2 linked regions of the Drosophila melanogaster genome follow. The protein of the gene in region 1 interacts with the protein of each later gene in a pairwise test. Each region holds a gene or a part of one and is shown on either strand. Other genes may lie near its edges. The genes, in order: CG1552 and CG15136.

What was found.
Region 2: the proteins of CG1552 (region 1) and CG15136 interact in a two-hybrid assay, tested with the Drosophila melanogaster proteins (one large-scale study listed by BioGRID).

What each region holds. Positions count from the first base shown.
Region 1 is NC_004354.4:11,051,524-11,055,366, reverse strand, and holds CG1552 (uncharacterized protein), read left to right. Parts: upstream 1-1,810; 5' UTR 1,811-1,881; coding exon 1,882-2,029; intron 2,030-2,179; coding exon 2,180-2,333; intron 2,334-2,509; coding exon 2,510-2,762; 3' UTR 2,763-3,196; downstream 3,197-3,843.
Region 2 is NT_033779.5:17,046,627-17,050,381, forward strand, and holds CG15136 (uncharacterized protein), read right to left. Parts: upstream 1,656-3,755; 5' UTR 1,503-1,655; intron 1,443-1,502; exon of another isoform or gene 1,440-1,442; 5' UTR 1,356-1,439; coding exon 1,145-1,355; intron 984-1,144; coding exon 622-983; 3' UTR 535-621; downstream 1-534.

The sequences.
Region 1 (3,843 bases):
AAAAGAAGCCATGAAATTATTTATACGATTTTCAGACAGTTGAAAGTGTACGACCGAGTATAAATAAAGCCCTGCTGCCCGTCCCTTTACTTTCCATCCCTTTCAATCCGGAGTGGAATACGAAGTACCAAGCAGCTAGAGCCGGGGAAAACGCCAGTTTTCTTCAACTGCCAGTCGAAGTTTTCGAAAATGTTGTTTTCCACTTCTCCCGCGTTTACTCGCACTTTACGTTTTTTTTTTTTTCCTTTCATTTTAACTTGTGGATCTGCGCCAAAGTTTTGTAGTATTAGTGCGTGCAGCGATTCGAGGCGGCCGAGTTGCAACTTTTACTTTTCATCCCGCTGCAGTTTGTGGTCGTATCCTGCAGCTCAGCTCAGATGCAGTTCCAGTTATCCAGTTATCCAGTTACCGGTTCCCAGATGCCGCGGGCCAACTGCTGAAAGCAGCTGCCACAAAAAAAAAAAAAAAAATACTTTGGGGCTAATCCCAAGTCACAGTCCTCGTTGATAATTTCCGGAATGTGCCGCGAGCACATGTGGCCCAAGTAAGTGAAAGAAATCGAGGAAAGGGCAGCAGTTTTCTCACAGTCAGGTCTAGGAATATAACTCATGGTCAACAACACATAACCATATACATTGTTATCGGAATATGCCAACTTATATTATTTCCTTGAAATGCAAACCATTTTGATAATTGGGAAGGTATTTTGCTAGCTATTTTCATTACCGAACACAATACTTTCAATAGTTTTCCCTAGGAGTGACAAACAAAAAGCAGACGCAACTAAGACATTATTTTCTAATGCATCGTTGACGTTTTCCTTTTTGCACTTCTGCAGTTCTTGCGTCTTGCATGGGACAGCACAGGAAAAAAGCTTTTAAGCTACTTAAGGTTGTTGGCAGGACGATGTTGCCACAAGAAGCGAGTTGGGGATAAAGACCCAGCTAATGAGTTGACAGACCACGCCCCGCAAAATACAGTCGCAAAAAGGGAAAACAGGCAACGGAAATGGCTGGGGTCAGAGGGCAAAGGACATGGAACAGATGGTCCTCGAGTACTCGCATTTCCGAGAATGCAACGAGGAACATTCCTCGACAAATGGGTCAAAGTGAGGTCAACCCCACAATAAATCAGCAAAGGACTTGTTTATCAAAATAAATTCTACAGAAGCAGAAGATTGAAATAAACATGAACAGGTTGTTTTGGCAAAATATTACCAGATTTTAGTCTCCAAATTATATTGTTGATTTATACCATTTTTAGATACATTGCTTTTTTTTATCAATACTAATTTTATAATTTATAGCTTTGCTAATGATTTCAGGCATTTTGTGATCACTTTCAAAAACAATCACAGCCTAAAACAAACAGATCACCATTTCCATGGGCTATTGCTGTTCTAGTGGGTCACACAACTTGCACTTGACATTATTGCGATTGCTGGAAAACAAACGATTATTATGACAAACTGTTTGGGTCCAATCTGGGTTTGTTTTTCTCGTCGCACAGCATCGCCTCGCATGTACTTGGATTGGAACGGTTTGGATGTGACGGGATGGGATGGGATGGGATTGGCTTGGATCGGGGGCATTAATCATGGGCGAGAGCTTGGGGCATGGACATGGACATCGGCCTGGGCAAAACGCAAAATTTGCATTGCAATTTTATTCTTGATTTAATCAAGTGCCGTGGCACAAACGCCAATTTAACTACCCACACACTACCCTCACACATACACAAACGCTCACACACACCCAAACATCCGCAGGGCAATGAGAATGCCGTCAGACGTTGCGTATACGTAATGCTTTTGGTTTGTGTAGCATTATGGGATGGTGTGAGCTTAGCGCGTAGTTTGCACCCGCCAGCCGAGTCACCGAGATGTACCAGCTGGAGAAGATCTGGGTCCTGCTGTGCCTGGCCCTCGTCGGTGTCCTTGGCTTCGGCCAGTTCCACATGAAGCACTATCAGCTGCAGCGTAACTACAATACGCAGGAGGATTCCGGCGAGAATGACAATAGTGTGCTGCGTGAGTTTTCTTCTTCTTAGATTCCACTCGATACACAGAGGAAAAAAGTTGGTAACTTGCAAATATGGGCTGGCCATCTTGCTATTATGCATTTATTCTAGCAGTTTTTGAGTTTTTTGAATATTGATACGTTTATTTTTTTCCATGCAGGAACCTTTCGCCGCTGCATGTGGGAGCAGTCGAAGTTTCTGCCCCGCCGCCTCGTCCTTTTGAGCCTGTGCTCGAATCTCTTCTGCGAGAACAATCACATAATGCCCCGTTCCAGGTCTATTTTCGTAGTGGAAAAAATGTCTAGGCCGAATGAGTAGTTGACCAATGCAATTCTATATAGCTAAGCATGTGCACCCATGCCCACCCTAACCCAACCTAGCATGCCCTAGAAATCCACCCTCTCCCCCCATGAAATATCCCAAAAAAACGCCCGTTGAAGGGAACCTGAACTAATGCCCTGTCTCTCCCGCTGTTCTGTGTCTCCTCCAGCTGCCTGGACATCCTGCCCGAGCAATGCGAGCAGGGCGATGAGGAGGAGCTGATGTACAAGCCCTTCCCCGACTGCTGTCCGGTTTATTGCAACCTGAAGCGTCGGATGCAGCGCCTGCGCACCATGCACTTCCGGCACCGCCTGCTGCGCAACAAACAGGACGGCTCAGCGGGATCCGCTGGCGGTGGATCCGCTGGTGGCGACGGTCCCAATAACTCGCTCCTCAGTGAGTTTGTCTACAACAACTACTAGGATGACAGGATGGTTTTGCTCGGCAGGATGGCCAACTAGGACGACGCGACGAGGACAATCCAGCAAATCAAATTATTCTGCGATTTGTGAACCAACCGGTCAAAATGGACAAAAAAGGAAGTCGCGTCACCGCAACACTGAGCGGAAGTGGATCCAAAATCAAATTATTTGGATTGTGTTAATCTCAATATGTATGTAGGCTATAATTTAGATTGTAACATATATAAGCTGGTATTCATCAAACTGAGCACAAAAAAAAAAAAAAACACAATCAAATTGTTTCAATGTTAAACTAATGAGCAAAAGTTTTTAAGAACATATAATATAATATTATATATATTATGTTTCAAGTAACTAGCTGCTATCAATGTGAAATTAAGTTATAATTTACAAGTTGCTTAACGTTTTTGTGAAAGTAAACAATCAGATTTATTATGTTCTGGAGTTTAAGGTTCCCATTACGCACTTTTTCTCAGTGGAATCTCTCCAATATCCAATTGAAACTGTCACTCGTTTGGAATTCGTCTAGACAGGCTCTCGAAAGTCCAAGTTGATGGACTTTTTTCTATTGCTATTTTGAGGCCGTGACCAAGTAGCTGCAGCCCTTTTTTCCCAGGTTTCCTTCATTAGGGCTTTTTCGGAGTCTCAAGAGCTGTGCTCTGCCCAAACTGCGATTTCTTATTTTTTTTTTTTTTGGCCAAAGTGGGCGGTGAATTGTGGTGTGGTGTGGCGATATATCCTGCAGCAGTGCTTCCTGTTTCCGCTTATCGTTTTAACACTTTTATGGAGCAGATGCAGCTGCAGAGCTTCGGAGCTTCGTGCTGGTGCCTTTGTCTTCATTTTTATCTGCAAACAAGCAATAAATTTTATTTTAATAAGCAACACTTTTGATAGCCAGTGTCGAGCTGAAAGTTCCTTCTCCTTCTGCCACTCGTTCCCTTACCATCGCTTCCCTTCCTGTTTCTGCACTTGTTCTGTGGCTTGTCCTTGTCCTGGCAGTCGCTGCCATCCTGGCTGTATCCTTGCTGTGGCGCAGCAGTAAATACAAAGGATACTTGGCATCATCGGCTCACGGTTAGCT
Region 2 (3,755 bases), on another chromosome or scaffold:
TTTAAATTCCACATGTTATTTTATTGAGTTTAAAAATTAGTTATTTAAGCCCGTACTATTTTCAGTGGTAGTTAAATCTGAAGGCAGTCCTGCTGCCATGCTACCCATAGACAGGTGAATCAAGCTTTCAGCTGCCATCCAGCGAGGAGAATTCTGCGTGCGGCAAAAGTTTTCATGCATATTCAACATCATTAGAAAGTCAGGACAAAGTAGCTGAAGGCAGAAAGGCAAGAGCCTTCGTGGAAAGTAAAACAAACCCGTTTAGGGCGCTAAAATGTAGGCTATAAATTATGTCATAGGTATAGTCGACCTTTCTCCACGGAGCTTCCTTTCTTCCAGTCTGCCGTAAGTGGGCTTGAAAGGAGTGCATTTAGAAAGTTCTGAAAAGCGTCTTAATTGCAACGACGTTGGAAAATACCTGTAGAATTTAATTCTTCGCGCTGGAAGCGTATTAAATTCAGAAAAAATGTAATTACTTACTAAAAGGGAAATCCCTTATAAGCACCTATGGTATAGGAAAAAAATACACAAATTGAGAGAGTAAGGAAGCAATTTACTGAGTTGCATGTAGGTGTGAAAACAAATGGAAAATAAATATATAAATTTGCCATTCCGTGGGACCTACATGACCAGACAGCACTTTTTGGCCGGTCTGGCGGAGTGGCGATTCTGAAAGCCATTCCTTTTTTCCTCATCTAAAGGTTCCTCCACATCACCCACAGTTTCGCGAACTTCCATTGCCTGGCTAACTGATGTGCTTCCTAGCTTGGGATCATAGGACTCGGCTCCGATATTCATGGCCTGGACTTCGTCAAACTCCAGTTCGCCAACCTCCTCCTCGCCAGGATCCAGGCTGTAAACGAAACCCGGATGGCGCAGACCCTGCTGCTGCTGGATGCTGGCCTCACGCCAGATGGACTCGTAACGGGGCTCGTAGCATATGTCCTCCGAGGTTGCCGTACTCCACCGGGTGTACGTAGATACTGCATGGGTATTAAATTTATAAATCCATCAGGAAATTAAAAAGAAATAAATAAATGCACAATACTAAAAACCTATGCAAGTCAAAGCATAATATATATAAAGGGCTTCAAAATACAATATATATTGTTTTAAATAAACATTATTTCCTTTCCGTACTTACACTCATCAAATAGCTTTTTGGCCACCTGGCTGGCCTTGAAGTCGGGCACAAACACAGGTGCGTTGGGGTTTAGGCGTCGGTCCAGCGGTCGGCTAACGACGGGGGGCGTGTCGCCCGCGGCGGGCGGAGGGCAGCTGCCAGGAGTCGAATGGGCGTCACCCACTTCCCCTGCAAGTTCGCTGGTCGATGCGGTGGCGGTGTCCTTCAACATGGTCAGCAGAGCACTTAACACTTGAATAGTTTTTCAAATCTACATTTGAGTTCCGGCCGGACGATTTCAAGTAGCTTTTCTATTCTGCTTAAATGCTCAGTTGACAATTATGGCAGGGCAAACTACCTGATTATTTGATTTTCTTACCGGTATTCAGTGCCAAATATTAATGAATGACCAAAGACAGCCGCTTCCAAAATATTTTGCCAAAACTTTGGTATTGGCCGATTTTTGCTATGAGGGTGTTTATCTCTCAACGTTTGTCTTCACGAAGTAATTTGTGTTCCTACTATTTTTAATGCTTGGCCTTTGAAATTTAATTGGATAAGTAATGAAAAGTCAACTACGATTAAAGCTACACTATTATTTACATACACAATTTATGATTGCAGAACGTACAACTCAATTAAATAGAAAACTATTTCAAAAAAAGTAAGTTAACCATGCTCCTTTGTCCCGATTCCTTGTAATTTCTTTGAAATGTCAAAGGTTATTTACCTCCATTCAATTTCTGTTAGATTGTTATTTTGAGGATTTATGGGTTTATCCATCTTATTGGGGCTTAACCCGAAAACTGCTTCAAATCCATGCATGCCATAATTCGATTTCATAAATTTGATTCCACTTTCAACTGTCATGTTTGCTCCGCTTTTCTCGTTGCAAATAAAGTTTGACTTTTAATTAAATGGCCGAACTTACAATAATTTTAATAAGCCGTATAAATAAATTATAACAAATTTCACACAAAGTGAGATAAAATTGCCTAAAACTCATCCTGACATTCCATCTTGCTGGTGCGTGTGTGTCAAATTTAATTTTGTGAATACCGCAAATTGACAAATATTTTCGTTTGGCCAACAAGAAGAAGACCAAAAGCACCCAGCACTCTAATTCAATCTGGCTGGTGTATTTTAATTGATTTGCGCTAAAATTTATTGATTTCATTTTGTCAACAGTTGTTGCCAGATGAACCGCAAAGAACGCCTGAAAACCTCAGACCCATTCACCCATTCAGCCATTTGCCCAACTTGAGCTCATTATGGCAGCTTCAGCCCCCTTGGAACCCAATATTTGCATTCATTTTGTGTGTGTGCTAATTTGCATGTGCGAGTGTGTTAAAACATAAATTAGTTGACTCTGCCGACACACCCACACAATCGAATAAAATAAAGAGAAAGGGGTTAGAGAAAGTTTCAACCGAGAACCGAGAATTTATTGCCAATTCATTGCATTCGCGCTGCTGTATCGAGCGATTTCGCTAACCGAACAAATAGCGGTTTTAACTGTTTTTAGTTAATTGCGCAAATTACTTGCGCTAATTTATTGGCCATTTTGTGGAATAGACAAGGTTTTTCAGCTTATAGGTTTAGTCCGACTAATTTGTTAGTTTCTGAAGGGATGTTTTTTTTTTTTTTGACTTCTTATTCTATACATTTTGTGTAAAAAAATACCATGTAGTTCTTCCTGTTTCAATAACACTATTAAGCCATTTGACAATTATCTTCGACAGTCATAAATCCGTTAAATTAAATAAAAGGCCAAAGTTTATTTAGCTACTCAATCAGGGACACAAACAACACTCAAATTGTTGGACAGTTTCAGATTCAAATGGCAAGCGGTGGTCGAAGGGCAAAGTAAATAGATGAAACGAAGTCTTCGCACTTTTGTAAAGTTGCTGCTCAGTGTTGGCGTATTTCCCTTGAAGGAGTAACGTATCATATCTTTTATTCAGCTTTGAATGAAGAAGTCATGTCAGAATATGCCTCAGATATAAACCGTTAATATAAAAACGAATAATATTAAATTGTATTATATTACATTATATTATTTGTGAAGGGAAAGTAGCCAAGATGACAGCTCTGGTCGCTCAGCAGTCAGTCAGTCACCCACTTGGTCAGTCACATGGGCTGCACATTCAAGTGTCACTGATTTGAGGATAAGCACTTCACAGGCAACTTGATAGCCCCCCAATCCGGACCCCCTCCATATATATATGTATATACATATATCTTTGTGTATGTATGTATGCTGTAGTGGCATTGGAGCGGTTGTGCCGTGTTCCGACGGGTTGCTTGGTTGCCTGGCCAGTCAGCCGTGGTCGGGAAATATCACAGCAGTACTCTCTCTCATTCGAGGGCCACTCGTGCAAAGCGAACTAATTTGAATGTATAAAATCAGCAGCACTGCCGGGAAGCCCCACAGGGACAGACATACATATCCGCAATAATATATATAAAGGGACAGCAGATAGACAAACTGACTGACTAACTGACTGGTCGAATGACTGGCCATGGAGAGTGATGAAAACAAAGGCCATCATTAAGCGTTCCATCTTTGAGCGGCTTTAATTGATGTGCGTTAAATCGTTGACAAACTTGATTAGGAAGGCCAAAAGGGGTT